Linked DNA regions of Lonchura striata. The protein of the gene in region 1 purifies or fractionates together with the protein of each later gene. This does not show direct contact. Links are inferred from orthologs where the notes say so. Each region holds a gene or a part of one and is shown in the gene's direction. Other genes may lie near its edges.

Evidence for each region.
Region 2: the proteins of CCNH (region 1) and ERCC2 purify together in Homo sapiens (affinity purification with mass spectrometry; 3 studies listed by BioGRID and IntAct, counting the BioPlex papers as one, with this or other methods). This does not show direct contact. The link is inferred for Lonchura striata from reciprocal best matches to the Homo sapiens genes CCNH and ERCC2.

What each region holds. Positions count from the first base shown.
Region 1 is NC_134642.1:53,247,789-53,263,691, reverse strand, and holds the start of CCNH (cyclin-H), read left to right. Parts: upstream 1-8,741; 5' UTR 8,742-8,767; coding exon 8,768-8,884; intron 8,885-8,975; coding exon 8,976-9,098; intron 9,099-10,263; coding exon 10,264-10,337; intron 10,338-10,571; coding exon 10,572-10,782; intron 10,783-11,102; coding exon 11,103-11,266; intron 11,267-13,000; coding exon 13,001-13,071; intron 13,072-15,903. UniProt on the Homo sapiens protein: Regulates CDK7, the catalytic subunit of the CDK-activating kinase (CAK) enzymatic complex. CAK activates the cyclin-associated kinases CDK1, CDK2, CDK4 and CDK6 by threonine phosphorylation.
Region 2 is NC_134633.1:6,038,557-6,055,350, reverse strand, and holds the start of ERCC2 (general transcription and DNA repair factor IIH helicase subunit XPD), read left to right. Parts: upstream 1-7,979; 5' UTR 7,980-7,985; coding exon 7,986-7,990; intron 7,991-10,009; coding exon 10,010-10,109; intron 10,110-10,389; coding exon 10,390-10,467; intron 10,468-11,922; coding exon 11,923-11,985; intron 11,986-12,074; coding exon 12,075-12,188; intron 12,189-13,941; coding exon 13,942-14,052; intron 14,053-15,527; coding exon 15,528-15,644; intron 15,645-16,794. UniProt on the Homo sapiens protein: ATP-dependent 5'-3' DNA helicase. Component of the general transcription and DNA repair factor IIH (TFIIH) core complex, not absolutely essential for minimal transcription in vitro.

The sequences.
Region 1 (15,903 bases):
CAACATCAAGTGTGAGTTATTTTACCCTTTTTTCAGAGTTCTAGGATTGTTCTAGGTTGGACCAGCAAAACACTGGTGTTTAAAAGTCCAAAGTCTGTATAGCACTTCTTTTCACCATGGTCTGTGACAAGCAACACTGGTGAATTCGTGACATTTAAGTATATATCTTGCATGAAAGATGTTCAAATAAGCCAGAAATACATACTCCTTTAGTCTCCTTGTGACACCAAGTTTGACACACATTAGATTGTTTTCATTTCAGGGAGAGAAAGATTCGGGGGAGGAGCCAAGCATTCCTACCTGGATATAATCTGAGATATAGAACAGCACAGCCAGCCTTTTCTGCCTGGATTACCAGAGGAGTAACTTTCTTTTCCACTGAATTCCCAGAGGAAGACCAGGCCCATCTACACCACCACTGAACCTTCAGAGGAAAACTACATCTTTCTACAGGATCACTACTTCAACGGAACCACATTTCTGACTCAAGAAGGACTGCAGCCAACATTAATCAGACTGCTACCAACACCCTGACCAACAGGGTGTCAGGTCGTATTCTGACTATGTCAGTGGTTTTTGGGGTTTTTTTTGTACTATTGTATTCGTATTTTAATTTTCCTACTAAAGGACTGTTATTCCTATTCCCACATCTTCACTTGAAAGCCACTTAATTTCAAAATTATAATAATACAGAGGGAGGAGGGGCACATTTTCCATCTCAAGGGAGGCTCCTACCTTTCTTAGCAGACACATCTTTTCAAAACAAGATACTTGTGCATTACTGGATAGTGGAGAGTGGTGTCAAAGAGGGGAAGACTGTGAAACTCCAAAGCCTGGCACCCCAACAATACTGAACTGCCCAGTGTTCTCTTCTGCTGGCCCACCTCAGAAATTATATCTGTGAGGGCAAAGCCTCTTGTACTCTGCCCAGCCCCCAGCACACATAGGAATTCTGTGAACTTCTCATTCCTCAGCTTCTCAACTTCAAGAGAATAAGAGCTTCTCTAAACATCCAGACCAATAACACATAAAGAGTTACTCCTATTACTTGGTAAAAAAGTACAGTTTTGAAAATACGGTCAATGAGTTTTTATAATCCTTACTCATTTTTTGGATACAAAGGCATCACACAGCATCTTATGTATTGGACACCCCCTAGTCTGAGACTAAGACAGATAATCAACAAACACACAAAAAAGAACTCTCATTCATCAGCAAACAAGACACATAGCTGCAAAAATTAGGATGCAAATTATTTTCCTCCCTCTGAATCTCATGCAGCCATTGTGTGCCCTGGTCTGTATTAAATTAAGGATGCTCAGCAAGACAAGCAATGTGATTCTCCCCAGCTACATCAGCAAACAGTACATTTCTCCCTAAGGCACTGAGCAGAAATGGTGCAAGGCATTTCCACGGCTTTCCATTGCTTGCTTGAGGAATGCTTGGTCAGTCTTTCCCTTTTGACTCCTCTCTAAGCATCCACCCCAGTGTTTTCTCTCAAGATCTTCCATCATTGTGGCTGCAGCTGTGGGAAGACCACGCTCCAGCACGGTGCGGGTGGAGGGAGGCATAGATCTCTGAAGGTTGCTCTTGGGGAAAAAGGTTTATTGGGGGTGCAGGAAGGTCCGAGCCTCGTGCTCTTAGGCGTAGCACGTGGCCGGGCTTAAGAGGGTGGGGGAGGGGAGAGACAAAAGGAGGGTTTAGGAGAGGGGAAGCTTCAGGAGGGGAGGAGGTTCCAAGGGAGGGGGAGAGGTCTAAGAGGGGGAAAAAGTTCCAAGAGACCGCATGGCCTCTCGGAGCCTCCTTATCAGGGGCTCCTAGGTGGGCTGGGATAAGGTATGGGCCAATGGGGTTACAGACACTGATGTTTTAGGGGAAGGTACAGAGGTGTGGGATGAGCCATACCTCTTTTGGGGGGTGGGATGGAACAGTCAATTTCACTCCAGGACTCATCCAGGGGCAGGAGTGACATCCGGCTAGCTGGGAGAACTGTTCTCATCCTAGCTGTATTATTTATGAACAATCATATCTATCTATCATCTGCAACATGCAGCAGCATTTCCTGGGGGAGGCAGCTCTGCCAACGTGGCCCTAAGGCTCCAGAAGCCTTTGGCTGACACTGGTGTGTAAGGTTAAAGGAAAACTGCTTCAGGAGAAGAGGAAGGAAAATGCAACCTGAGACTGCATGCATTAAGGAAATAGCTTTTTTTTTTTTTTTTTTTTTCTTGAGTAAAGGCTTGCTGCGGCCTTTCTAGAGCTGATCATGGTGCTGCCTCTTGCTGGAATGGGAGGCATCTGCGGACCTAGGGGTCCTCCTCTTTCGGCGGATATCACAGGTGAGGGCTCAGTGCCCTGGCCAGGAGCAGAGGAACCTGCAGCCACTCTTGTCTCCCCCAGCACTTCCTGGGGCTGCTTCTGCTCTGCAGGGATGGACACAAATGAGGAGCAGCTGGGACGTCCATGAAGGGCACTCTCCAATGTGCTGGCTTCCTCCTCCGTGTTGAAATTTGCAATGCCACTGGATGGGGCCTGGCTGAGGGTGGGAGCACCCTCCTGAGAGTCAGGGGGATCAGAGCTGGCAGCAGGGATCTCATCTGCTGCGTCTCCCCCTCAAATCCACGGGGATAGTGTAGTAGATAGCGACAGGCGAACGGAAGATTTAGGGATGTGACGGAAAGGAAGACCCCCATCCCCCTCTCACCCTGCAACATGTTATCCATTACCCCAAAGAATGTAACCACACCTAACCCAGTAGTCTTCCACTCCTGACTAACCCTAGAGACCCTGCCAACCCCCCCTGACATAGCAGAGTCCCCCAAGACTATTTAAACCCATGAGATAAGATAATAAACGCTTTTCGACCGTCCACCACACTGGTGCCTGCGTGTGTCGTTAGCCCAAGTGGCCCAGGGGAGACTGGGCTGCCGTGCTGTTCCTTGCAACCAGGTCGCCATTGTCTTCCATGAAGGCAACAGATAGAACCCCTGTGGAGCCCGGCCAGCTGGGCAGTGGGGCGAAGCGGGCAGAGGGAAGGAATTTCTCCTTGGATCCCAGGGGGTTTGGAGAAGCTCCCACATGAGTCCAAAGACGAACTGGTTCCACAAGCAAAGGAAAGAGGCGCTCTCCCTCAGGATTAGTTCCAAAGTTTAATGAGGGCCTGGAGAGATCCCAGGCCACATCTGGCTTCAAAGGACCTCCAGAGCAAGAGCGAGGGTCTCCCAGCCCAGAGCTGCCAGATATAGGGGGGGGGCGGGGAAACCCAAGCAGGCAATGGGGGAAGGACATGGGAGTGGCTCTTGGGGGGCAAGGCCTCAGAGTGACCACTGAGGAGGGGGTGGGGGAGGAGTCCCAGCCAGGGTCCAGTTACCTGGTGACCCTGGGGGAAGGATCTGGACAAAGGGGAAGGGTCACCAGGTGATGGACACATCACCTGGGAGGAGACAGGGGGATGGGTTGGGGTTTGATGGACATACAGGTACTGATGGGAAAGCTGGGATGAACCAAACAGGTACAAAGAGGGGATATGGAGGGACAAACCATTATAAGGGGATATGCAGTGCAAACACAACTCTACACTCATCCTCCTCCCTGGCAGTCTGAGAGTGCAGCAGCCTCCAAACCTCCTCACTGCACTGGGTCTCGATATTGAGGATGCCATGGACAGTGATGCAGTGTATTGCTGGAGATGGGGCTGCAATCTCTGGACCAAGACTTCTCTGTCTGGACCATAGACACAGAGTGTGAGCACAATGCCGCTCTCTGCATTCTTCACCTCATACTACTTGCCCCCATATATAATCCCCAGCCCCTGGTGCAGCCATGGCCTCACAGGGTCCAGGAGGTTCCATTGTCTTCAGCAAAGTTCTGCCCAAAGCTCTGGCAGGATGCCACCCATGGCTTCTGGTCCTGCAGCCTGCTGCTGAGCAGGGGCTGTTATTCCTTGTGGACAGGCAACAAGGGAATCTGCAGGGCCAGGGGATCTGTTTTCAGCCAGGCCTCTAGGAGCTTCTGCTGCCTGGTGCTGGTGTCTGGCAACTCTCTGGGAGGTGTGATAACATAGTGTAGGTTGTCATCTCCACCATGATCAGAAAAATTCACTATCAAGATGGATCTTCTGCAGAGTGAGCAGGCAGGATTTCTTTCTGCCCAACGCAAGACGCAGCCAAGGCAGAATTGGTGGCCGCAGGGCATTGCGTAAGCAATGTCATCTGGTGCATTGCAGCAGATGGGGCAGCTCCACTCCTTCCCTGTGGCCATGTGTACTTGTTCCCACAGGTTGGCCCAGGCTCTGACAGCACCTGATTTTACAGAGCAATGGATGTGAGGTCACAGTCATAATCTACCACCAGGATTATGTGTGGGTCCTCTGCTTGTTTTTTCTACCTCTGTCGAGGTTGGGATTGAAGGCACTTGAGACGGTGTTTCATGTCGGACTCACGTGTTTATTATTTCTTATCAGTGAAACAACCTCACAGCTGTGAGTTCTGCAGTCTTTCATTAGCAAAGCATAAAATGGCTAACTATCTCTTGTTACAAGGTCTTTTAAAACTAAACTATCCAATTAGGAAATGACACCTGGACTATTTTCCCTTCTAACCCAATAACTGATACCTCAAATCCTGCAATGCAGACTTTTCTGTCTAATTACAAAACATCACCCAAACCCATGAAGAAGAAGGAAGAAGAAGGCGAAGAACAACCCTTCTCCTCCCTACAACCTGTATCTTGCTTTATATTTATTTCTGTATTCTAAAACCCCAAACTCTAAGTTTTCCATCCTGTGATATTACACACTTCTAACCAACTAAGAATTCCAGTGCTATTAATCAATTTTGGAAGTCTTCTCCACAGCTTCAAGTCAAATGCAGTGCTCTCTTGCAAGTCTCTGCCTTTCAGCACAGAAAGTTGAAAATTCTCAGCATCAAGGATTCCAACAATTATGATTATTCCTAGGAGTATTATTGGAATTACTATCACCTCCACAACCCAATAATGTTACAATATGATGTCTACCCCTGTGGTTCTTGGAAATATACTGCTAGTTGGAGGCTGCCCTCTGCCCTCTTGTGCACCCCAGAAAGGAGGGCATCACCAAACAATGAGATCTGAGTTAATGGATACATGGCTGTGGAGAAACAGCAAGGTTAAAGTTTGGTCCATCACAGATCATCACAAATTCAGCACAGGGGGTTCAGGAAATCAGGGAAAAATTTCAGATGACACTATGAGGAATGGCTGGATTTCACAATCCATGAAGGAGTGTTTCCCGAGAGATGGCCAAAATGCACAGATAACCTGCACAGGAGAACTAGACATGTTGGGAAGGGGAGCCTTTTAGGAGAAAAGTGTCAGTGCAGCTGTATCTGCAACATCATCTAAGTTTGACATTGCCTAAATAACGCTGTCCCAAATCCCAAGTCTGGGACCAGATCAATTCATGTTGGAAGCAATGGGGAAAAGGGTCATTGGGGTGGAGTTTTTTATGTCAGTAGAGGCAGGACTGGAGAAAGTGAAGTGCAAGGGCATCTGAGGAGGGGAAGAAAAGACAGAGCCTTTGATGACTGGCATGAAATACCTATGGTGAGCTGAAGACATGGGTGAGAAGAAGAGAAGTAGAAAGCGGAGTTGCAATAGCCCAAGACATATGCAGAGGGGCAATGGAATATTGGGACAGACATCCCTTGTCCATCACTGAACTGTGGAGGCTGGCATCAGAGTGGCGGACCGTGACAATTCAAAGCCTGGCTCTCCAACAATGCTGAACTGTCCAGTGTTCCCTTCTGCTGGCCCACCTCAGAAATGATATCTGTGAGAGCAAAGCCTCTTGTACTCCGCCCAGCCTCCAGCACAGATAGGAATTCTGTGAACTTCTCATTCCTCAGCTTCTCAACTTCAAGAGAATAAGAGCTTCTCTAAACGTCCAGACCAAATAACACATAAAGTTAGTCCTATTACTGAGTTGAGCAACTGATTAATAACTTACATAGCTTCACTTTCCAAAAAACCTTTCAGTTCTTGTAATTATCTTTCTGAATGTCGTAAAAATTTTTATACTCACTCTGCACTTTATTAGTGTATTCTATACCATTCTTTGTAGACCTTATTACTTGCACAAAAATCACATTGCACTATTTCTTCTTTTTACTAACCTATTTGGCTACAAGATAATATACCAAAATTGTGTTGTGGGTAAAGAGAACTATTGTGAGAAAAACAACAGAGAACCAGAAACAGTAAATTTTAGGTTCTGTTCATAGCTTGGTCTCAGACCAAGAACACAAAGGTATTTTATAATTACTTTTCCAGATATGTTATCTAAATCTGCCTTTTTCCACTTTCAGACTGAATTTTAGAATCACTAATAATTCACCATACCAGTTAAAGTTACAGAAGAACTACAATCAGTGAAGTCCGTAGTTGTTTGGTATCCTTAAACCGACATACCTTTGAAGTAAAGATTCTGAAAAGTGAAAGGCATAAAAGAAATGGAGTCTTTAAAAAATAAAAAAAAATCTGCTTTACCCTCTGTACTGCTCTCTTTAGAAATTTTCATTCCTATTCTTACGTTTTACTCTTAGAGTGATGATGTAAAATAATGTATTAACAATAATACTCAGCAAACTGAGTATTAGAATAACATGCACTATTTATGAGTCTCTAATTTGTGAAACTGTCACAATCAGATGCACAACAGCACCCTTTTGGTATTTTTTGTATATATGGCTCTTGGAACTCAGATTTGGTCAGATTTCAAACTGTTTATATGCTGGATGTGCTGATTACTATAATTTAAGGCAAAGTATTGATGGATTCAGACTATGCAGATAATACAGTTATTTCTTGTGTAGTTTAGGGAAAGGACCTTCGTCATGTCAGCTCACAAAGAACCCCTTTGTCACTAAAAAACAGGAAACAAACTCTCTAACCAGTTTTTTGTTAGAAAGCTGATATTTTTCAATATGTTTGGTACATGGGGATAGCTTCACCTAACACATATATCCACTTCCAAAACTTTTCACTATTTATGCACTGTAACAAATAAAGAAATGAATGTTCATTGACTGTAAGTTCCATAATTCTCTTCATTAGTAAGTATTCTATCTCCTATTTGTTTTCTCACGTCTCATGCTAATTAGCCCAGCTCTCCAGTGTTTTTATCTTTTTCCCAAACAGCACATCCAGTACAATTGCTGAACTGAAAGTGATACAAGTCTGTCATGCATTGACTTGGTTAGTTTTTTCTTTATCTTGAGTTTCTGCAAAATGTCCTCGTTGTTCATGAATTTTCCATTACCTGCATCTAGTTTCAACAATAGATGTCTCTGCAAGGCTTTGTTAACATCCTTCCTGGTCTGAGATTATTGAAACATATCAAAGTGTTGATTCACTTGTTTCAGTGAAACTTAAAGTTTCAGTAATTTCCCCAAACCATGTTCCCACAATACCAGCTTATGACAACATTGCTAAATGCCAGCTACAGTGGCATATGACAGAGCGTAAAATTACATTGCTTCAAAATAATTAAAATGATTAATTACAAGAGATAATTAAAATAATCTATTAGAAAAATTATGAGTAAAGTTATATAATTTCCCACACTAGTTGTGGCACGAGGCTTATTAGTCACAGATGTAGAGACTTAAACCCACATTTATCCTTAGTGTTTGTAGTAAGCACTGTATGATACAAAACAAAGCATTAATCGTAGATAGGATTAATGCACAAACACCTGTCCTAAGGTTAAAAGAATTTTTCTCCCACTGCTGCATAAACTCCTTTTAAAAGAATTTATGTTACTTGCTGGGTAACATTTTTAACTACAAGTCCTGTGACTGTCCACACAATTATGTTTTACATACTTTCCTCACATATGTCAAATACAAATATTAGATACTACACTGTAATATCTAAAATTTCTAGCTTAAACATGAAATGCTGCTTCCTTAATAGTATAACTGGATTTTATATATAGTGGTTATTGGGGGAGAGCAGGAGACTACTGAAGGAACTTTACTGAGCAGAATCACAGAATATTCTAACTTGGCAGAGACCCACCACAATCATAAAGTCCAGCTCCTGGGCCTGCACTGTACATCCCAAGAATCACATCACGTGCCTGACAGCTTTGTCCAAACACTTACTGAATCCATCAGACTTGGTGATTAGACCACTTCCCTTGGGAGTTTGTTCCAGTGCCCAATTCCCCTGTCGGTCAAAAACTTTCCTGATATCCAACCTAAACCTCCACTGACTTAACGCTTAACGTCATGCTATTTTCTCGAGTCCTGTCACTGTCACCACAAAGAGATCAGTGTCTGCCCTTCCTCTTCCCTCACAAGGAAGTTGTAAGCTGCAATGAGGTCTCCCTTCAGTCTCCTCTTCTCCAGGCTGAACATTCCAAGTGACCTCAGCTACTCCTCATATAGCTTCCTCTCTAGACCCTTCATCATCCTTGATACTCTATAGTAGCTTAACGTCTGATTTACATTGCGGTGCCCAAAACTGTCCCCAGCACTCGACGTGAGGCTGCACAAGTGCAATGTAAATTTGCAAGTATACATTAATAAAACCGAAAAGGAAACACAAGCATGCAAAAGTTTACAACATACTGTTTTGCCACGGCCCTTCATTAAAAATTAAAAGTTTGTAAAAGGAAACGGAAACATCCCTCTTCCACGAGGAAGTGTTCTACGCCCGCCCCGCCGCGCCCCACACGCTACGACGGATCCCGGCGTGCCGCGCGCGGGTTCGGCCATGTTGTGGGGCCATGTTCCACAGCAGCACGCAGCGCCGGCACTGGCTCTTTCATAGCGAGGAGGAACTGGCGCGGCGCCGCGCTGAGGGGAACCGCCGGGCCCGAGCCAGGGCGGTGGCCAGCGGAAAGGTGCGCAGGGGCTCGGAGGTTGCGGGCGCGGGGCGGAGCGGAGCGGGGAGGCAGGGGCGGCGAACTCAGGCGCGGCTTTGCTTCTCCCAAGGTGCCGGAGGGTGACCCAGTGCTGCTGGAGCCACACGAGGAGCTGGCGCTATGCAAGTACTACGAAAAGAGGCTGCTGGACTTCTGTGCCGCATTCAAGCCCTCGATGCCGCGGTCCGTTGTGGTAAGCGAGGCGAGGAGGAGCCGTAGCCTCGGCCTTCCTTATTCCTTCGCTTGCTGCCTTCTTGGCTTGTTCTTGAGAGCGCGGATATCTTTAAATCTCTTCATCTCTCTTCTCTCCTTCTAGCATTACAGTCTGTGGCAGCTTGTTGTCTTGTTTTCTGACACGTAGAGCCATTTCAAAACCTGATACTTTTCAACGTGATCTTTTGCTTGTGGCTCTTAAACTTGCTTGGGTGACTGAATTGTTTTGCTTCCCCTTAGCAAAGAGTAGAAACAAAATAGTTGTAGATGATTGGTGCTAATGTTTGATGATACAATGAAACAATCTCCCAGTCGCTGAAGGAGACGGTCCCAAATTTGGGCTGTCATTCAGATGTTTCTCTAGCATTAGTGCTTCTCTGACCACAAAATAAGCTGGATCGTGTACTGGGAAAACATTACCCTACAAAGGAAAAACATTACCTTGAACTTAGATGTCTTGAATGCAGAAGACCGTATTTCAGAAGGGAGAAGTGGGGACATAGAGCTGAACAGAGTGAAATTGTGCCTCACTCATTAAGACATTAAGATGTATGATTTACATTGTCCTACATTAGTCCTCACTTTTCCAAGCATGTGTGTTGAGTACTGTGCTTGAGGGTGTCTTTGAAAGGTAACAGTCACTGTCATGGCATGTGAAGCCAGATTGATGTTTGAGAACTAGCTCCTGCAGAGTCTAATTTTGGAAAGCATCGACTTTCATGCTGATAAACATGCTGCAAAATTTACTGATGTAAAAAATCAAATTGTTTCAATTGCTTGCAACTTTGAGGATGATTTTTTTCAGCCTTTGATTTTTAAATTTCATTTTAATACCAGGTTATTTTCATAAAGGGACTCTTGGCTTTTTAGGCATTGTCTTCTAAAACATGTCTAAAAACAAGGAAAATTGTTTTGTATTACAGTTGTAGTATAAGGTTCTTGCAGGCAAAAAAGACTTTGAAGTACTTCATTCCTGTGTGTGTGAAATACTTAATTTCTGGCTGTATGTGTCTTAGTGCCTCAGTGTATCCTGTGTGCCTGTAGCATATATCCAAACTTGCCCGTTTTGGGAGGGGAGTTTCTTTTTATTTTATTTTTTTTTTCTTCATCCATTTTTTTTTACCTCCCTATTTTTTTCTATTTAGGGTACAGCTTGCATGTATTTTAAACGTTTTTACCTCAATAACTCAGTGATGGAGCATCATCCTCGGATAATAATGTGAGTTATCAATACTTCTTTATATTTGTAAAGACGTAAAAAAAAAAAAACTAAGAAAGAAAATCTGAGAACTTAAATAGGAGTAAAGACAAAATATGGTCAGTTTCACTATCTTTTTGCTGTATTCAGAACATATTTAAAAATACACATTTTCTGATCAGAACTTTCAGTAGGAGAATGGATGCTGCATATGTCAATTATTTGCTTTTTTGGGTTTTTTTTTCCCTCCTCAAGGCTAACATGCACATTTTTGGCCTGTAAAGTAGATGAATTTAATGTATCTAGTGCACAGTTTGTTGGTAACCTTCGAGAAAGTCCTCCTGGACAGGAAAAGGCTCTTGAACAAATACTAGAATATGAACTGCTACTTATTCAGCAACTGAACTTCCATCTGATCATCCACAACCCATACAGACCATTTGAGGGATTTCTAATTGATATTAAGGTAATACTCTCCGATATGCTATATGCTTTGTATAGTAAAGTGATACAAGTCTGTCATGCATTGACTTAAAAAACTTAATTTCCTTTTGTGCCTGTGATTTAAAAAATCTAATTTTCATAGTGATAGACAAATACCTGAAAGACAGTTGTCTTACTTGTGGTCTTTAAGTTATTTGGGATATTTTTGGAATAAAAACTTCTACTTTTTAGCTAAAAACTTGCTACTTTTTAGCTATATAAAATACTGTTGAATTGTGTATTCTGAACTCATGAAGAAGAATGACAAACAGCTGCCTTTTTTTCTAAATCATTACTTTTTAGACTCGCTATCCAGTGCTGGAAAATCCTGAAGTTTTAAGGAAAACAGCTGATGACTTCCTTAATCGAGTGGCTCTGACAGATGCGTATCTGCTCTTTACTCCCTCACAGATTGCTCTCACTGCCATATTATCTAGTGGCTCAAGAGCAGGAATTAATATGGAAAGGTAGTATTATTTTCTTATATGTGTGGTTTAAACAATCTGTTTGCTTCTTGTATAAAACTGTTTTGCTTAGACATTCTTAATTACTAGAATTTTGTATTTGTTGATTGCTAGCACTCATCTGTTCTTTATGGTTTAGAATGGAAGTGTTACTGTTCATTTTCACAAATAGGTGATGAAAGCAGTTAGTTGCTGTCTGGTTTTTATATTCCTTTAAAAGAAGTTAAAACCCTGACAGCTTTCCCTTAATTAGAACAGCTTAGGGTTTTCAGACTCAGTTTGAGGGTTAGACAGGGAAGAAAGTGGAAATATGGTAGAAATTGAGAGTCAACTGAAATTACACTGAACTGACAGCTAATGGGCATGCTGTAACATGCTGTGTTTGATTGCTGCAACTGTTCAGTTGCCATGGGTATGCACAAGGGCTAAGGTGTTGCTTTAAATCACTCTTTTCTTTCCCTTCTGTGAAACCCATAAGTACATCTTGCATGTCCTTGCCACTGGTGTTTGCAGAGGTACTGTCAAACACTTTGATATCTTTGTTGAAATGTGTAGTTGGTTTAATTCTCTTTTGGACAAAATGTATGCTTTTGTTCAGATGAACAGCTGAGGTGGTTGCTGCAAGAAACTGTACCTGGCATGTTTTAATAACATGCCTGTGAGCATTTTGCATCTGGAGTCTAACACCTGCTCTAAACCCAAAAAGTTCTTCTGATCTTCCATCTGTTCTAAATGTATGTCAAATCTCTGTAGTTCTAAGATAAGGAGCGTTGGGAGTATTCTTTACAGGATTCACTGTCTTCTAAGAATTGTATAAAAACATTCAGGTGCTTACTTCTACTTGAAATTTGATCTCATTTTTAGATCTGTATTCTGTACTGCTTGTGCCAAAATTCAGAAAACCATGCTTGCAAAAAGAATGAAAATAATTTATAGCTAATGTGGAATTCAAGGTGTCTGAACTTTGTTGTCATGTTCAGGAAGAATTCAAGTCTTTGCTACCTGTCTGCACCATACAATTGTATGTACCTTGCCATTTACTGTTTGTGAGTTTTTGCTGCAGACATGAGAGAAGCTGATGATGCAGCTGACGGTCTGTGTATCTGTGATCAGGTGGAGCTGCAAAGGTGGTACAGAACACGTGAAAATTGGAAAACCCATTGCTCTCATGGGGGAAGGGATGGAACTCTTTGGTTGTTGTGGGTGTGAGTGAGGAGGATTGTTCGTGTCTGTTTTATCCAGGCAATGTGCATTTGTGTTCTTAGTAAAGAGAAGTTTCATCTGGTTGGGAAGAGGAAGGAACCCGTAGGCTCAGGCAAGACAGTGTTTAGTAATAGCTTTCAGCTGCCAAAAGAAGCAGGCCTGTCTTGCAAGCTCTGCTGTTGGTTAGTCTGAAAACCACTGTAGTGCTTGCTTGTCTTGTAGGCATACTGTACAATAGTATGATGTGTCATAAAGTCATAAATGTAATTTGACTTAGCTCCATGAGGATTAGAAATACCTAATTTGGCAGTGGCATTTCTACATGACTGGAGGAATATTTTTGTCACCTTCTTACAGTGACAGATTAGCTTTTTTATTACTTTATAGCACTTAAGTAAACAAAGTGTTCTTACTTATCTAATTATAAAGCTCTAGGAGATGTTCATTATAAATAATACACTCTTACTAATCACAGATGATTACCATAAATTATTATGACACTTTAAAAATTTATTTTTCAATGTCTCTTTTTAGCTATTTATCAGAAAGTCTTAAGCTGAAAAAAGACAGATCAACCTTATCCCGATTACTGGATGACATGAAATGTAAGTAAACACTGGAAAAGTATATTAAAGAATATATCAAAACAAGGAAGAACCATCTTTTTCCATATTACAAAAGCTTTAGATAGTTTTGCTTCAGATAGCTCTCTTCACCTTAAGACAGGCATAAGTAAACTGCAGACAGAATGAACTACCCAGCATGTAGATGGAGGAGGAAAAAAGACTGAAACAAAACGAACAAATAAATTAAACAAATGAACATGAACAAAAATAAATAAATGACCAGGCAGAGGAGCTGCGTGATGCTTTCAGAATGTAAGTGCTAGCTAGAGTCAAGGTGCTAGCAGCTGATTCAAAAGTGAGAAAACTATTATATAACAGTATCAGTAGGACAGAACTAAATTGCTTATTATGTCACCATATCTTAAACATTACAGCTTCAGGCAAAGTCTGCATGTAATTACTACCACCAGAAGGTACGTTTTGTAAGCTAAATGACTAATGTGATATGCCAGTTTTACACTGCACATTTGTTTTGCGTCTATGTTTCAGAAGATGCTTAGCTTCACTAGTGTGAGAAATATCTGTGTATATATTTTTCAAATATTAAGAATACTACCATGGTTTAGCTAAGCTAAAAGGGAGTATAGTACACTGATTATTACCTGCTTGTATTTAAATGAAAAGGTTGTGATATGAAATTCCCAGTAAGTAATCAGGTACTGAATGCATTAAGTTAATGCATGCACTTAAAATGGGAGTGATGGCAGTAAAACTAGGCTGGCTGACATGAGCAGTGAATGCACCATACAAGTATCCATGGTCTACCAATTCAATTTACCTTTAATTTATAATATTTAAGATGTCCTTTACTTTCTGGTCTCCTAACAAATCAAGTCTTCAGACTTCCATTGCTGAGGTAGAAGGGAATGCTGGGATCACTTACTCTTCACTTCAGTTGTTGTGGATGCTAGCTTTAGCCCAGAGGCAACTCTTCCATAAACATAAGACGGTTGGAAGGAAATTTTTCAAACAATTTGTAAATTACTTCTACAGAGTACTGGTGATAGAGAAAAAGACTCATAAATTTAATTTGCACTATTAGAAAGACTGGAACTGGATTTTTTTTAGGACAGCAAGTACAAGGTTGATTGCAAAAAATACCTGTGTATTTTGAAGCTTGTTAGCAGAGTAATGTAAACCCTGCCTTAAGGAAATCCAAAGTCAGTGATCCTGGAGACTTGTTTCAGTGTAGTTATAATAAGGAAAGGAAGGATGAACTGTTGGTTGAAGCCTGATTATGACATAAGCAATAATCAGCCACACGGGAGACTGGATAAGCTTATGTGAGTATCAAGTGTGGTGGTTGACCCCAGCTTGATGCCAAGTGACCACCAAAGTTGCCAAGTGACCACCAAAGTCACCCTGTCACTGATCTCTTGTCATGGTTTGACACTGGTATGTTAGTGCTTTTATGAAAATGCAACCCCCCAAATGATTGCTGTGAGATACGATTAGGAACATAGTAGAGTAGGCTCAAGCTTAATAACAAAGGAAAAACTTCATTAAATTACTACTACTGTAAAAGGAAAAAAAAAGAAGAAAAAAAACCACACATTAAATTTAAAATGAAAACTTTCTAAAACATTCTTCTTCCTCCCCCCACAATTCTAACAAACTACAGTGAGACACAACTTGGACTTCTAATCAGGTCTTTCCTTTTCAGATAATCAGTATTCAGTTTATCGAGGGAGAGAGAAGTCTTTCTTGTGTCACAGACTCTCTAAGATACACAGCTGTTACTCCTTGTGTTTCTGTGTTAAATATGGCACTGCCCGGAGAAAATTTGTTATGGTGACACTCTCCTTTCCATGCACAATGTTCTCACTATAGTGCATGGACAGGGTGCTTTTAGGATTTTTTTTCAAGGATGCTTTCCTAAGAGGAAAAAAAGAAAACAACAGTTCAGTTTTTCATTTTTGGGACCGCAGTCCCCCCCACTTCCCCCTGGGACCGAGGGTCTAAGAACAGAGATCTTCTTCTTTTTCTTATTTTTTGAAGATGGGAGTATTACCACAAGTCTCTTTTAACTTTTTTCTGTTCACTCTACTCTTGTCTTATCTGTTAAGGCAGATCTCATGGCTCACTGTGTATCTTCTTAAAATACAGTTTTTCTTTTAGAGGAGAAACTGTTTCAGTCTATGTTTAACAAGAAATAGTTCAGCTGAAAGCTACGTTATAATTTTTTCTCCTAACTTTCTTTTCTCAACATTTCAGGTTTTAGGCTGTCTTTTTTTTTCCTCTTTCAAACTGAGGAGGAGTTATATTTCATAAAGCTTTCATTTTTCAAGAGACTTAAAAGTCTCAAATTCTCTAGACACCAGACTCTACCTAAACCTCCAACTCCCACACTAAAGACCTTACCCCCCTTTCCTCCTCTATGAGAGTACTACCAGCACTGTCACTATCTTTTTCTCTCTCTCTCCAGAGAGACTCTAAAGAGAAAACACAAACATCCCAAATTTTCTCCACCCTTGCATCTGCAGGGAGCCGGAGCTAGTCCTAGTCTACTTACTCTTCAGCCTACTTTAACTTCCCCTCCCCCACCCAGCCACGGGCTGGGCAGGGGAGAATCTATACTCTCTAATAAATAAAACTAAAAAGAACTAGTTCTCGTGAAAGAGAACTTCTATGTTCTCAGAAATGTATGTAGCCTTTAATTAACCAGCCTAAGTGCCAATGTCTAACTACTGATTAGTTTAACGCTCTTCCTTCTGAAAAAAAAAAATTCTGTGTCAAACCACAACACCTCCCTAGCTGGGCAAGGGAGAGAAAAGAAAATCACAAGTTCATGGGCTAAGGTGAGAGCAGGGA
Region 2 (16,794 bases), on another chromosome or scaffold:
CCCGAGGGGCTGGGATCCATCCAGAGGGATCACGGAGGATCCAGAGGGATCAGATGGGGCTGGGATCCACCCAGAGGGACCAGGGAGGGACTGGAATCCATCCCGAAGGACTGGAATCCATCCTGAGGGATCAGGGAGGATCCAGAGGGATCAGGGAAGGGCTGGGATCCACCCAGAGGGATCAGGAGGGGTTGGGATCTATCCCAAGGGGCTGGGATCCATCCAGAGGGATCACGGATCTATCCCAAGGGGCTGGGATCCATCCAGAGGGATCACGGAGGATCCAGAGGGATCAGGGAGGGGCTGGGATCCATCCAGAGGGATCAGGAGGGGCTGGGATCCCCCTGGCAGGACCAGGGGTCTGTGGATCCCGGCGGATCCCGGCGGATCCCTGCCCGATCCCTGTCCCCTGCAGGCGGCTCCGGCCCCGCGGCGGCTCCGGCGGCTCCGCGGCAGCGCCGGGTGACGGCGGCGGCGCCGGGGCGCTACCGGATCTCCGCGCCCGAGCGCCGGATCCCGCGGCAGATCCCGCGGCTGATCCCGCGGCAGATCCCAGGTGCGGATCCCCGGCGGATCCCCGGCGGATCCCCGATCCCGCAGCCCCGCACTTCCCTGCTGGGAAAGGGCAGGGGATCCCGAATTTCCCCTCCTGGGTCCTGGAATTCCCCTCCCGAATCCCAGATTTCCCATCCAGATCCCAGATTTCCCCTCCTGGATCTCAGATTTCCCCTCCAGATCCCAGATTTCCTCTCCTGGATCCCGGATTTCTCTTCCAGATCCCAGAATTTCCTTCCCAGATCCTAAATTTCCCTTCCAGATCCCAAATTTCCCCTCCCAAATCCCAGATTTTCCTTCCCAGATCCCAGATTTCTTCCAGATTCTGAATTTCCCTCCCAGATTCCAGAATTTCCTTCCCAGATCCTAAATTTCCCTTCCAGATCCCAGATTTCCCCTCCCAAATCCCAAATCTTCCTCCCAGATCCCAGAATTTCCCTCCCAGATCCCGAATTTTCCCTCCCAGATCCCAGAATTTCCCTTCCAGATTCTGAATTTCCTTCCCAGATCCCAGATTTCCTCTCCCAAATCCCAGATTTCCCTCCCAGATCCCAGATTTTCACTCCAGATCCTAAATTTCCCTCCCAGATCCCAGATTTCCTCTCCCAAATCCCAGAATTCCCTTCCCAGATCCCGGATTTCCCTCCCAGATCCCAGAATTCCCCTCCTGGATCTCGAATCCCCCATTTTCCCCAAAATCTTCCATTTTTCCCCAAATCCCCCCATTTTTCCCCAAACTCCCCCAAAATCCCCCATTTTCTCTCCAGATCTACCATTTTCCCCCCAAACCCCCCATTTTCCCCAAATCCCCCCATTTTTTTTCTCCCAAATCCCCCCATTTTTTTTCCCCAATTCCCCATTTTTCCCCAAAATTCCCCATTTTTCCCCAAATTTCCCCATTTTTCCCCAAATCCCCCCATTTTCCCCAAATCCCCCATTTTTCCCCAAAATCCCCCATTTTTTTCCCCCAATCCCCCATTTTCCCCCCAAAATCCCCCGTTTTCCCCCCAAATTCCCCATTTTTCCCCCCAAATTCCTCATTTTCCCCCCAAATTCCCCGTTTTCCCCCCAAATTCCCCATTTTCCCCCCAAATTTCCCATTTTCCCCCCCAAATTCCCCATTTTCCCCCCAAATTCCCCATTTTCCCCCCAAATTTCCCATTTTCCCCCCAAATTCCCGATTTTCCCCAAATCCTGGGATTTTTGCCCCGTTCCAGCCCCGGCCCGGCCGTCGGTGTTCGAGCGCCTCGGGGCCGAGGCCAAAGCGGCCGCGGGGAAGGTGAGGGGGATCCCGGGGATCCTGAGGGATCCGGGGGGATCCAGGGGGGATCCCGGGGATCCGGGGGGATCCAGAGGGATCTGGGGGATCCGGAGGGATCTGGGGGATCCGGAGGGATTTTGGGGGGGATCGGGGGGGATCCAGGGGATCCGGGGGGATCCAGAGGGATCTGGGGGGATCCGGAGGGATCTGGGGGGATCTGGGGGGGGATCCTGGGGGGATCTCGGGGATCTGGATGGATTGGGGGGATCCGGAGGGATCTGGGGGGAATCCGGAGGGATCTGGGGGGGATTAAGGCAGGGGTCCAGTGGGGGATCCTGGGGGGATCCTGGGGGATCTGGGGGAGTCCAGAGGGATCTGGGGGGAATCCTGGGGGGATTTGGGGGGATCTGGGGGTAACTGGGGGGATCCAGGGGGATTTTGGGCAACTTGGAGGGGATTTGGGGAGTCCAGAGGGATCTGGGGGGATCCAGAGGGATCTGGGGGGGATTAAGGCGGGGGTCCAGTGGGGGATCCTGGGGGATCTGGGGGAGTCCAGAGGGATCTGGGGGGAATCCCGGGGGGATCTGGGGGGATCCTGAGGGATTTGGGGGGGATCCGGGGGGATCGGGGAGGTCCAAGGGGAATTTGGGGGTAACTGGGGGGATCCAGGAGGATTTTGGGGGACTTGGAGGGGATTTGGGGGGATCCTGAGGGATCGGGGGGGATCCAGGAGGATTTGGGGGGGGGTGGGGGGGTGGTGGTGTCCAGAGGGATCCTGGGGGATCTGGAATCCAGGGCGGGATCTGGGATCCACTTGGGGATCGGCATGGGGGGATCCTGGGCGGGATTTGGGATCCGGGGCAGGATCAGGAGTCAGGACCCAGGGTGGAATCAGGCTCAGGGATCCAGGGCGGGATCTGGGATCCACTCAGGGATGGGCCATGTGGGATCTGGGGCAGGATCTGGAATCCAGGGCGGGATCTGGGATCCACTTGGGGATCAGCCAGGCGGGATCCTGGGTGGGATTTGGGATCTGGGGCAGGATCAGGAGTTGGGATCCAGAGCGGGATCAGGCTCAGGGACCCAGGGCGGGATCTGGGACCCACTGGGGGATCCGGGATCCACCCTGGACCGACTGGGGGATCCGGGATCCACCCTGCACCCACTGGGGGATCCGGGATCCACCCTGCACCCACTGGGGGATCCGGGATCCACCCTGCACCCGCGTCCCCGCAGCCCTCGGGGGTGTTCAGCCGCCTGGGCGCGGCACCGGGGGACTCGCCGGGGGATCCGCCGGGGGATCGGCCGGGGGATCCGGCGGATCCCGAGGCGCTGCCGTACGCCGGCGTGCTGAAGCGGCGCCGCGAGGGCGCCGGGCCGGCGGCGCAGGACGGCGCCGTGTCCAGCAGCAGCTCCGGTGGCGTCTTCCGCAGGCTGGGCCGCCCGCCCCGCTGAGAGCCCGTCCCGGGGATCCACCGGGATCCACCGGGATCCACCGGGATCCACCGGCAACAAGAACTGGGGTCCCTGCGAGAGGGGATCCTGCTGGATCCGCTGGGATCCACTGGCAACAAGAACTGGGGTCCCTGCGAGAGGGGATCCCACTGGATCTTCCGGGATCCCCTTGGAATCAGCAGGAATTGGCCGGGATCTGCCAGGATCCAATGGGCGAGAGCCGGTCCCGGGGATCCACCGGGATCCACTGGCAACAAGAACTGGGGTCCCTGGCAGTGGGGATCCTGCCGGATCCACTGGGATCCCCTTGGAATCAGCGGGAATGGGCTGGGATCTGCCAGGATCTGATGGGAGCGACGGCGAGAGCGGATCCACTGGGATCCACCGGGATCCACCGGGACTGGCAACAAGAACTGGGGTCCCTGCGAGAGGGGATCCCGCTGGATCCACCGGGATCTGCCGGGATCCACTGGCAACAAGAACTGGGGTCCCTGCGAGAGGGGATCCTGCTGGATCTGCGGGGATCCCCTTGGAATCAGCGGGAATTGGCTGGGATCTGCTGGAATCTGATGGGAGCAACGGCGAGAGCGGATCCACTGGGATCCACCGGGATCCACCGGGACTGGCAACAAGAACTGGGGGCCCTGCGAGGGGGGATCCTGCTGGGATCCCGCCGGGATCAGCCGGGATCTGGCGGGACGGGTGGCGAGATCGGGGATCCTTGTGAGTGGGGATCTGGCCGGATCCACCGGGATCCCCCTGGAATCCGCCGGGACCGGCACCAGGAGCGGGGATCTGTGTGTGTGAGTGGGGATCCAGCTGGGATCGACCCCGGGGGATCCCTCGGGATTGAGCGGGAATAGAGGGGATCCCCTGGGGAAAAAAGGGGGGGATCCAGCTGGAATCGAGGGGGATCCAGCCGGAATCGAGGGGGGATCCCCTGGGAATCGAGGAGGATCCAGCCGGAATCTAGGGGGATCCAGCCGGAATCGAGGGGGGATCCAGTCGGAATCGAGGGGGATCCCCTGGGGAAAAAAGGGGGGATCCAGCTGGAATCGAGGGGGGATCCAGCCAGAATCGAGGGGATCCCCTGGGAATTGAGATGATCCCCTGGGAATCGAGGGGGATCCAGCCGGAATCAAGGGAGGATCCAGCCGGAATCGAGGGGGGATCCAGCCGGAATCGAGGGGATCCCCTGGGAATCGAGGGGGATCCAGCCGGAATCGAGGGGATCCCCTGGGAATCGAGGGGGATCCAGCCGGAATCGAGGGGATCCCCTGGGAATCGAGGGGGATCCAGCCGGAATTGAGAGGATCCCCTGGGAATCGAGGGGGGATCCAGCCGGAATCGAGGGGATCCCCTGGGAATCGAGGGGGATCCAGCCGGAATCGAGGGGGGATCCAGCCGGAATCGAGGGGGGATCCAGCCGGAATCGAGGGGATCCCCTGGGAATTCCCCCCGGAACCGAGGCTGGATCCCGTGCGGATCCCGTGGGAACCCCCGGGTGGATCCCCCCAGCAGATCCCGAGGCCAAAGCAGCCCCAAAATCTCCTTTTTTCCCCCCAAATTCCCGGATCCTTTCCCGGGATTCGGGAGCCCAGGCCCCCAAATCCCAGCCGGGGCCGGATTTGTATTCCCAAGTTTTGGGGTTTTATTCCCAAATTTTCTGGGGTTTTATTCCCAATTTTGGGGTTTTATTCCCAATTTTGGGGTTTTATTCCCAATTTTGGGGTTTTAGTCCAAATTTTTTGGGTTTTAGTCAAAATTTCTGGATTTTTATTCCAAATTTCTGGATTTTTATTCCCAATTTCTGGATTTTTATTCCAAATTTCTGGGGTTTTATTCCCAATTTTGGGGTTTTATTCCCATTTTCTGGATTTTTATTCCCAATTTTTTGGGTTTTATTCCCAAAATTTCTGGATTTTTATTCCCAATTTCTGGGGTTTTATTCCCAATTTCTGTAGTTTTATTCCCAATTTCTGGATTTTTATACCAAATTTCTGGATTTTTATTCCAAATTTCTGGATTTTTAGTCCAAATTTTTTGGGTTTTATTCCCAAAATTTCTGGGGTTTTATTCCCAATTTCTGGATTTTTATTCCAAATTTCTGGGGTTTTATTCCCAAATTTTCTGGGGTTTTATTCCAAATTTTGGGGTTTTAGTCCAAATTTTTTGGGTTTTAGTCAAAATTTCTGGATTTTTATTCCAAATTTCTGGATTTTTATTCCCAATTTCTGGATTTTTATTCCAAATTTCTGGGGTTTTATTCCCAATTTTGGGGTTTTATTCCCAATTTCTGGATTTTTAGTCCAAATTTTTTGGGTTTTATTCCCAAAATTTCTGGGGTTTTATTCCCAATTTCTGGATTTTTATTCCAAATTTCTGGGGTTTTATTCCAAATTTCTGGGGTTTTATTCCCAATATCTGTAGTTTTATTCCCAATTTCTGGATTTTTATTCCTAATTTCTGGGGTTTTATTCCCAATATCTGTAGTTTTATTCCCAATTTCTGGATTTTTATTCCCAATTTCTGGATTTTTATTCCAAATTTCTGGGGTTTTATTCCCAATTTCTGGATTTTTATTCCAAATTTCTGGGGTTTTATTCCCAATTTCTGGGGGTTTATTCCCAATTTCTGGGGTTTTATTCCCGATTTCTGGATTTTTATTCCCAATTTTCTGGGGTTTTATTCCCAATTTTCTGGGGTTTGATTCCCAATATTTGGGGGGTTTTATTCCCACTTTCTGGATTTTTTTTCCCATTTTCTTGGATTTTTATTCCCATTTCCCCCCAAAAAATTTTGTTTAAAAAAAAAAAAAAAAAATTAAAATCCCTGAGGGGAATTTTAGGAGCAACTTCCCAAAAAAAACCCCAAATCCTTCCTAAAAAACCCTAAATCTTCAAAAAACCCCAAAATCCACCCAAAAAAAAACCCCAAATCCTCCCCAAAAACCCCAAATCCCCCCAAACGTCCCAAAATCGCTTCAATTTGTGGATTTTGGCCCCAGGGCTTCCCAGAAATTCCAAAATTCTTCATTTCCCCCAAATTCCCTCTGGCCACAAACCCCAAAATTGGGATTTTGGCCCCAAAATTGGCCATTTTTGTTCTTCCCCAAAATCAGTTTTTTTTTCTTCCCCAGAATTGGGGTTTTCCCCCAAAATTTGGGTTTTTTACCCCAAAATTGAGGGTTTTTTACCCCAAAATTGAGGCTTTTTTTCCCCCAAAATTGAGGTATTTTTCCTCAAAATTGAGGTTTTTTTACCCCAAAATTGAGGCTTTTTTTCCCCCAAAATTGAGGTATTTTTCCTCAAAATCGAGGTTTTTGTATTCCCTAAAATTGGGGTATTTTTCCCCAAAATTGGGTTTTTTCCCCCCAAAAAGAATTCGGGGCAGGGGACACCGAGCTGGGGGATTTTTTAATCAGGAAAAAAATGAAATTTGGGATTTTTCCGATCCAATTTGTGCCTTTAACCCGAATTTGGGATTTTTTTCCCCCAAATTTGGGATTTTCCTCCACCAATTTGCGCCTTTTCCCCCAAATTTGGGATTTTTACTTGGTTTTTTTTCCCCAAATTTGGGATTTTTTTCTCCTTCAATTTGGGTTTTTCTCCTCCAATTTGGGACTTTTGTGGTTTTTTTCCCCAAATTTGGGATTTTTTTCTCCTTCAATTTGGGTTTTTCCCCCAAATTTGGGATTTTCCGCTCCGCTTTGTGTTTTCCCCTCAAATTTGGGACTTTTATTTGTGTTTTTTCCCCAAATTTGAGATTTTTTTCCCCCAAATTTGGGATTTTTTTCCCCAAATTTGGGATTTTTTTTTCCCTCCGATTTGTGCCTTTCCGCCCAAATTTGGGACTTAAATATTATTTGTGTTTTTCCCCAAATTTGGGATTTTCTCCCCAAATCCCGGCTGGTTTTTTGCCGGCGCTTCGGGTGAATTCTCGCGGGAGCTTTTTTGGCAATAAAAGCGTGAAATGCAAATAAAATTAATTTATGCAGATTTATGCAAATGAGTTTCATTAACGGATAGGTGTGGGAGGCCACGCCCCTCTCTCACCCCGCCCTCGGTGACGTCACAGCCGCAAATCCAAAAAAAATCCCCCAAATTTTGGTCGCCCCTCCCCCAAAAATCCCAAAAAAAACCCCCAAAAAATCCCCAAAAACCCAAAAAAATCCAAAAAACCCCAAAAATCCCCAAAATTTTTGGCCGTTCTCCCCAAAGTCCTCAAAAATTTTTTTAAAAATCCAAAAAATCACCAAAATTCCCCAAATTTTTTTGTCGCCCCTCCCCCGATGTCTCCAAATGCCCCCAAAAATCCCCGAAAATTCCCCAAAAATCCCAAAAAATCTCCAAAAAAACCCCAAAATCCGCAAATTTCTTCTCATCCCCCACCCCGACAATGTCTCCAAAAATCCAAAATTTTAATCGCGCTTCCCCCAATGTCCCCAAAGACCCGAAAATTCCCCAAAATTCCCCAAAAATCCCCAAAAAACCCCCAAAATCCCCAAATTTTTCCTCTCTGCCCCCACCAGCCTCCCCCGATCCATCGCTCGGCGCTCGATTGCTCCTCCCCGGCAGCGCTCTCCCCCCCCCCCGTGAGTGGCAGCTGCGGCAGCCAATGGGAGAGCGAGGCGGGATCAGCGCTGACCAATGGGAATGCGCGGGGCCGGCGGGGGGCGGGGCCTCGGCGGCGGCGCGAGGCAGCGGCGCGAGCCATGAAGTGAGGGGGGATTTTGGGGGAATTTGGGGGATTTTGGGGAATTTTGGGGAATTTTGGGGATTTTTGGGGAGTTTTGGATTTTTTGGGGGGAATCCGAAGGGATTTGGGGCGATCTGAGGGAGATTTTGGGGGTTTGGGGTGAAATTTTGGGAGTTTTGGGGTGAATTTCGGGGGGATTTTTTTGGGAAATTGGGGGGGAATTTTCGGGATTTTGGGAAATTTTGGGGCGGTTTGGGGGAGACTTTGAGGGAATTCGATGGGGTTTGGGGGGAATTTGGGGGGGAATTTTGGGGAGATTTTGGGGGATTTGGGAAATTTGAGGGGAATTTGGAAGGATTTGGGGGAGTTTTGGGGGAATTTTGGGGATTTGAGGGAATTTTGGTGAATTTGGGAGGATTTGGGAGGGTTGGGCAGAATTTTGGGGGAATTTGGGAAATTCGAGGGAATTTTGGGGGGTTCTGGGGGAGTTTGAGGGGTTTGGGGAGTATTTTGGGGCTTTTTGTGGGAATTTTCGGGGGACTTTTGGAGGAATGTTGGGACCTTTTTGGGATTTGGGGGGTTTGGGGAGAATTTGAGGGGATTTGGGTGGAATCTTGGTTTTTTTGGCGGGGATTTGAGGGGATTTTGGAGGATTTGAAGGGATTTGGGGGGAATTTGGGGTTTTGGGAGAGATTTGAGGGGATTTTGGTGAATTTTGAGGGATTTTTGGGGAAATTTTGGGATTTTGGGGGAATTTGGGGGGGATTTTGGTGAATTTTGATGGATTTTTGGGGTTTGGGGAGGAATTTTGGGGTGATTTTGGAGAATTTGAGGGGGGTTGGGGATTTTTGGGGGGATCTGAGGGAATTTTGGGACTTTCGAGCCACCCCTGCCCCCCCCCCGAGGATCTGAGGCTGTTCAAAGGCTCCGGAACTCCCCAGGTCCCCCAAAATCCCCCAAATTCCCTCCAAAATCACCCCAAAATCCCTCGGGATCCACCCCTGGAACCCACTGGATCCCCTGGGATCCCCCAGGCTGAACGAGGACGGGCTCCTGGTGCTGTTCCAAACCCCAAAATTCCCCAAAATCCTCCCAAAATCCCCTCAAAAACCCTTTCAAAACCCCCCAAAATGCCCCAAATCCCCCAAAATCCCTCAGGATCCACTCCTGGAACCCACTGGATCCCGCAGGCTGAACATGGACGGGTTCCTGGTGCTGCTCCAAACCCCAAAATCCTCCCAAAATCCCCCCCAATCCTTCCCAAATCCCCCCAAATCCCCCCCGAAATCCCCTAAATCTCCCCTAAACCCCCCAAAATCCCTCGGGATCCACCCCTGGAACCCACTGGATCCCCCGGGATCCCCCAGGCTGAACGTGAACGGGTTCCTGGTGCTGTTCCAAACCCCAAAATTCCCCAAAATCCCCCCCAATCCTTCCCAAATCCCCCCAAATCCCCTCCAAAATCCCCTAAATCTCCCCTAAACCCCCCAAAATCCCTCGGGATCCACCCCTGGAATCCACTGGATCCCCCGGGATCCCCCAGGCTGAACGTGGACGGGCTCCTGGTGTTGCTCCAAACCCCCAAATCCCCCAAATCCTCTCAAAATCCCCTCAAAAACCCTTTCAAAAACCCCCCAAATCCCCTAAATCTCCCCTAAACCCCCCAAAATCCCTCGGGATCCACTCCTGGAATCCACCGGATCCCGCTGGATCCCGCAGGCTGAACGTGGACAGGCTCCTGGTGCTGCTCCAAACCCCAAAATTCCCCAAAATCCCCTCAAAAATCCCCTCAAAAACCCCCAAATCCTCCGAAATCCCTCGGGATCCACCCCTGGAACCCACTGGATCCCCCGGGATCCCCCAGGCTGAACGAGGACGGGCTCCTGGTGCTGTTCCAAACCCCAAAATCCTCCCAAAATCCTCCCAAATCCCCCCCAATCCTTCCCAAATCCCCTCCAAAATCCCCTAAATCTCCCCTAAACCCCCCAAATCCCTCGGGATCCACCCCTGGAATCCACCGGATCCCCCGGGATCCCGCAGGCTGAACGTGGACGGGCTCCTGGTGCTGTTCCCCTACGAGTTCATCTACCCCGAGCAGTTCTCCTACATGCTGGAGCTGAAGCGCACGCTGGACGCCAAGGTGGGATCCACCCCGGGATTCACCGAGGGGATCCACCCCGGGGATCCGCCCCGGGGATCCACCCCGGGGATCCACCCCGGGGATCCACCCCCGGCTGGGATTTGGGGGCCCGGGCTGCCGAATCCCGGGAAAGGATCCGGGAAATTGGGGGGGAAAAAGGAGATTTTGGGGCTGTTTTGGCCTCGGGATCTGCGGGGGGGATCCACCCGCGGGATCCACCCGGACCCGGGGGATCGGGCGGGATCCGCCCCCCCTGAGCGCCCCTCCCCTCCCCCCCCAGGGCCACGGGGTGCTGGAGATGCCGTCGGGCACCGGGAAAACGATCGCGCTGCTCGCCCTCATCGTCGCCTACCAGCGGGTGCGGATCCGCCGGATCCCGCCGGATCCGGGGGGATCTGGGGGATCTGGAGGGGATTTGGGGGATTTGGGGGGATCTGGAGGGGTTTTGGGGGGGATCTGGAGGGGTTTTGGGGGGATCTGGAGAGGTTTGGGTGAGTTTTGGGGGGATCTGGAGGGATCTGGAGGGGTTTTGGGGGGATCTGGGGGGATCTGGAGGGGTTTTGGGGGATTTGGGGGGATCTGGAGGGGTTTTGGGGGATTTGGGGGGATCTGGAGGGGTTTTGGGGGATTTGGGGGGGTTTTGGGGGGATCTGGGGGGGTTTCGGGGGGATCTGGGGGGGATTTGGGGGGATCTGGAGAGGTTTGGGTGAGTTTTGGGGGGATCTGGAGGGATCTGGGGGGATCTGGAGGGGTTTTGGCAGGTCTGAAGGATTCTGGGGGGATCTGGGCTGATTTTGGGGGGGATCTGGGGGGGATCTGAGACGATCGGGGGGGATCTGGGGGGATCTGGAGGGGTTTGGGGGGGGGTCTGAGGGATCCTGGGGGATCTCGGAGGGATTTTGGGGAGTCTGGGGGGATCTGGAGGGGTTTTGGGGGGATCTGGGGGGGATTTGGGGGGATCTGGGGGAGATTTGGGGGGATCTGGGTGTGGGGTTGGGGGGGGTCTGAGGGATCCTGGGGGATCTCGGAGGGATTTTGGGGAGTCTGGGGGGATCTGGGGGGGATTTGGGGGGGATCTGGGGGGGTTTGGGGGGATCTGGGTGTGGGGTTTGGGGGAGTCTGAGGGATCCTGGGGGATCTGGGGGGGTTTGGGGGGGATCTGGGTGGGTTTGGGGGGGATCTGGAGGGGTTTTGGCAGGTCTGAAGGATTCTGGGGGGATCTGGGCTGATTTTGGGGGGGATCTGGGGGGGATCGGAGACGATCTGGAGGGGTTTGGGGGGGGGTCTGAGGGATCCTGGGGGATCTCGGAGGGATCTGGGGGGGTTTCAGGGGGATCTGGGGGGGATTTGGGGGGATCTGGAGAGTTTTGGGGGGATCTGGGGGGGTTTGGGGGGGGTCTGAGGGATCCTGGGGGATCTCGGAGGGATCTGGGGGGGTTTCAGGGGGATCTGGGGGGGATTTGGGGGGATCTGGAGAGTTTTGGGGGGATCTGGAAGGATCTGGAGGGATCTGGGGGGTTTTGGGGGGATCTGGGGGGGTTGGGGGGGATCTGGGTGAGTTTGGGGGGGATCTGGAGGGGTTTTGCCAGGTCTGAAGGATTCTGGGGGGATCTGGGCTGATTTTGGGGGGGATCCGAGACGATCGGGGGGGATCTGGGAGGCTCCTGGTGGATCCCAGAGGCTCCGGATGGCTCCGGGGAGATCCTGGTGGATCCTGGGGTCTCCCCAACGCCCGGGCTGGATCCCGGGCTGGATCCCGGGTTGGATCCCGCTGGATCCCACTGGATCCCATCAGATCCCTCCTCCCCCCCAGGCCCACCCGCTGGAGGTCTCCAAGCTGATCTACTGCTCCCGCACCGTGCCCGAGATCCAGAAGGTCGGGGGGGGGGTCCGGGGGGTCCGGGGGGTCCCGGCGGATCCCGGCGGATCCCGGTGGATCCCTGAGGATCCCGGGGCTCCCGGCAGGTGGTGGAGGAGCTGCGGAAGCTTCTGGAAGGCTACGAGAGGGAGCTGGGCCAGCCCCTCCCCCTCCTGGCGCTGGCGCTCAGCTCCCGCAAGAACCTCTGCCTGCACCCCCAGGTGGGATCCCGGGAGATCCCATGGGATCTGGGGGGATCCAAAGGGATCTGGGGGGATCCGGGGGGATCCAAAGGGATCTGGGGCTCTGCCTGCACCCCCAGGTGGGATCCCGGGGGATCCCATGGGATCTGGGGGGATCCAAAGGGATCCGGGGGGATCTGGGGGGGGACCCGGGGCTCTGCCTGCACCCCCAGGTGGGATCCTATGGGATCTGATGGGATCCAAAGGGATCTGGGGGATCTGATGGGATCCAAAGGGATCTGGGGCTCTGCCTGCACCCCCAGGTGGGATCCCGGGGGATCCAAAGGGATCCGGGGGGATCCGGGGGGATCCAAAGGGATCCGGGGGGATCCAAAGGGATCTGGGGCTCTGCCTGCACCCCCAGGTGGGATCCCGGGGGATCCAAAGGGATCCAGGAGGATCCAAAGGGATCTGGGGCTCTGCCTGCACCCCCAGGTGGGATCCCAGGGGATCCAAAGGGATCCAAAGGGATCCGGGGGGATCTGGGGCTCTGCCTGCACCCCCAGGTGGGATCCCGGGGGATCCAAAGGGATCCGGGGGGATCTTAGGGGATCCGGGGCTCTGCCTGCACCCCCAGGTGGGATCCCAGGGGATCCAAAGGGATCCGGGGGGGATCCAAAGGGATCCGGGGGGATCCGGGGGATCCAAAGGGATCCGGGGCTCTGCCTGCACCCCCAGGTGGGATCCCATGGGATCTGAGGGGATCCAAAGGGATCCGGGGGGATCTTAGGGGATCCGGGGCTCTGACTGCACCCCCAGGTGGGATCCCAGGGATCCAGGGGGATCTGATGGGATCTTGGGGGGGGGGGGGGGGGGTGGTCCAGGGGGAATTTGGGATCCCAGGACTGTGGGTAGATCCCAGTGGATCCCGCAGGTCTCGGCTCTCCGCTCCGGCCAGGAGGGGATCCCGCGGGGATTGGGGGATCCCAGGGGTGTCAGTGGATCCCGTCTGATCCCGGGATCCCGCAGGTGTCGGCACTGCGCTCTGGCCGGGAGGGGATCCCAGGGGGGATCCCAGGGGGATTTGGGGATCCCGGGGGATTGGGGGATCCCAGGGGGGATTGGGGATCCCAGGGCTGTCAGTGGATCCCGTCTGATCCTGGGATCCCGCAGGTGTCGGCGCTGCGCTCTGGCCGGGAGGGGATCCCGGGGGGGATCCCAGGGGGATTTGGGGATCCCGGGGGGGATTGGGGATCCCCTGGCTGTCAGTGGATCCCGGTGGATCCCGTCTGATCCCGGGATCCCGCAGGTGTCGGCGCTGCGCTCCGGCCGGGGGGGGAATCCCGGGGGATTGGGGGATCCCTGGGGGGATTGGGGGATCCCAGGGGGGATCCCAGGGGGATTGGGGATCCCAGGGGGGATTGGGGATCCCAGGGGGATTGGGGATCCCCTGGCTGTCAGTGGATCCCGGTGGATCCCGTCTGATCCCCGGATCCCGCAGGTGTCGGCGCTGCGCTCTGGCCAGGAGGGGATCCCAGGGGGGATCCCAGGGGGATTTGGGGATCCCAGGGGGGATTGGGGGATCCCGGGGGGATTTGGGGATCCCCTGGCTGTCAGTGGATCCCGGTGGATCCCGTCTGATCCCCGGATCCCGTAGGTGTCGGCGCTGCGCTCCGGCCGGGAGGGGATCCCGGGGGGGATCAGGGGGATCCCAGGGGGATTGGAGGACCCCAGGGGGGATTGGGGATCCCAGGGCTGTCGGTGGATCCCATCGGATCCCCGGATCCCGCAGGTGTCGGCGCTGCGCTCCGGCCGGGAGGTGGACAGCCGCTGCCTGGCGCTCACGGCCTCCTACCTGCGGGAGAGCCCCGGCACAGCCCGGCCCGGCTGCAGCTTCTTCCAGGTGGGATCCGGGGGGATCCCGAGGGATCCGGGGGGTCCCAGAGGGATCCGGGGGGTCCCAGTGGGATCCGGGGGGTCCCAGAGGGATCCGGGGGGTCCCAGAGGGATCCAGGGGGATCCCGAGGGATCCGGGGGGTCCCAGAGGGATCCGGGGGCTCCCAGAGGGATCTGGGGGGGATCCTGGGGGTTCCAGAGGGATCCTGGGGGGGTCCTGGGGGGTCCCAGAGGGATCCGGGGGGTCCTGAGGGGTCCCAGAGGGATCCGGGGGGGATCCCAGAGGGATCTGGGGGGGATCCTGGGGGTCCCAGAGGGATCTGGGGGGGTTCTGAGGGGATCTGGGGGGGATCCGGGGGGTCCCAGAGGGATCCGGGGGGTCCTGAGGGGTCCCAGAGGGATCCAGAGGGGTCCCAGAGGGATCTGGGGGGGATCCTGGGGGTCCCAGAGGGGTCTGGGGGGGTTCTGAGGGGATCTGGGGGGGATCCGGGGGGTCCCAGAGGGATCCAGGGGGGTACCAGAGGGATCCGGGGGGTCCCAGAGGGATCTGGGGGGTCCCAGAGGAATCCAGGGGGGTCCCAGAGGGATTTGGGGGGGATCCTGGGGGTCCCAGAGGGGTCTGGGGGGGTTCTGAGGGGATCTGGGGGGGATCCTGGGGGTTCCAGAGGGATCTGGGGGGTCCCAGAGGGATCTGGGGGGGTCCTGAAGGGTCTGAGGGGGTCCTGGGGGGATCACAGCCCCATTTCTGTGCCCCATTCCCATTTTTGGAGCCCCCAATTCCCATTTTTGAAGCCCCAATTCCCATTTTTGAAGCCCCCAGCCCCATTTTTGGAGCCCCCAGCCCCATTTCTGTGCCCCAATTCCCATTTTTGGATCCCCCATTCCCATTTTCGAAGCCCCCAGCCCCATTTTCTCCCCCCAGGAGTTCGAGGCGCGGGGCCGGCAGAGCCCCCTCCCCATTTCAGAGCCCCCAGCCCCATTTCTGTGCCCCAATTCCCATTTTCGAAGCCCCCAGCCCCATTTTCGAAGCCCCCAGACCCATTTTTGGAGCCCCCAGCCCCATTTTTGAAGCCCCCAGACCCATTTTTCTCCCCCCCAGGAGTTCGAGGCGCGGGGCCGGCAGAGCCCCCTCCCCATTTCAGAGCCCCCAGCCCCATTTCTGTGCCCCAATTCCCATTTTTGGAGCCCCCAGCCCCATTTTCGAAGCCCCCAGCCCCATTTCTGTGCCCCAATTCCCATTTTTGGAGCCCCCAGCCCCATTTTTGGAGCCCCCAGCCCCATTTTCAAAGCCCCAATTCCCATTTTTGGAGCCCCCAGCCCCATTTCTGTGCCCCAATTCCCTTTTTGGAAGTCCCCAGCCCCATTTTTGAAGCCCCCAGCTCCATTTTCGAAGCCCCCAGCCCCATTTCTGTGCCCCAATTCCCATTTTTGGATCCCCCATTCCCATTTTCGAAGCCCCCAGCCCCATTTTTCTCCCCCCAGGAGTTCGAGGCGCGGGGCCGGCAGAGCCCCCTCCCCTTCGGGGTTCACAACCTGGACGATCTGCGGAGCCTCGGGCGGCAGCGCGGCCTCTGCCCCTACTTCCTGGCCAGGGCCTCGGTGAGAGCCAAAATACCCTAAAATTTACCCAAAATATCCCTTAGGTGTTCCAAAATATCCCAAAATATCCTTAAAGTGTCATAAAATATCCTTAAATATCCTTAAAGTGCCACAGAACATCCCCAGCTGCCCCTGCTTCCTGGCCAGGGCCTCGGTGAGAGCCAAAACAGCCCAAAATTACCCTAAAATATCCTTAAAGTGTCATAAAATATCCCAAAATATCCTTAAAGTGTCATAAAATATCCCAAAATATCCTTAAAGTGTCATAAAATATCCCAAAATATCCTTAAAGTGTCATAAAATATCCTTAAAGTGCCATAGAACATCCCCAGCTGCCCCTGCTTCCTGGCCAGGGCCTCGGTGAGAGCCAAAACAGCCCAAAATTTACCCAAAATATCCTTAAAGTGTTCCAAAATATCCCAAAATATCCTTAAAGTGTTATAAAATATCCCAAAATATCCTTAAAGTGTCATAAAATATCCCAAAATATCCTTAAAGTGTCATAAAATATCCTTAAAGTGCCATAGAACATCCCCAGCTGCCCCTACTGCCTGGCCAGGGCCTCGGTGAGAGCCAAAATACCCCAAAATTTACCCAAAATATCCTTAAAGTGTCATAAAATATCCTAAAATATCCTTAAAGTATCCCAAAATATCCCTAAATATCCTTAAAGTGTCATAGAATATCCCAAAATATCCTTAAAGTATTCCAAAATATCCCAAAATATCCTTAAAGTGCCACAGAACATCCCCAGCTGCCCCTACTTCCTGGCCAGGGCCTCGGTGAGAGCCAAAACAGCCCAAAATTACCCTAAAATATCCTTAAAGTGTTCCAAAATATCCCAAAATATCCTTAAAGTGTTCCAAAATATCCCAAAATATCCTTAAAGTGTCGTAAAATATCCTTAAATATCCCTAAAGTGCCATAGAACATTTTCAGGTGCCCCTGCTTCCTGGCCAGGGCCTCGGTGAGAGCCAAAATATCCTAAAATTTACCCAAAATATCCTTAAAGTGTTCCAAAATATCCCAAAATATCCTTAAAGTGTCATAAAATATCCTTAAAGTGTCATAAAATATCCTAAAATATCCTTAAAGTGTCGTAAAATATCCTTAAAGTGTCATAGAACATCCCCAGCTGCCCCTGCTTCCT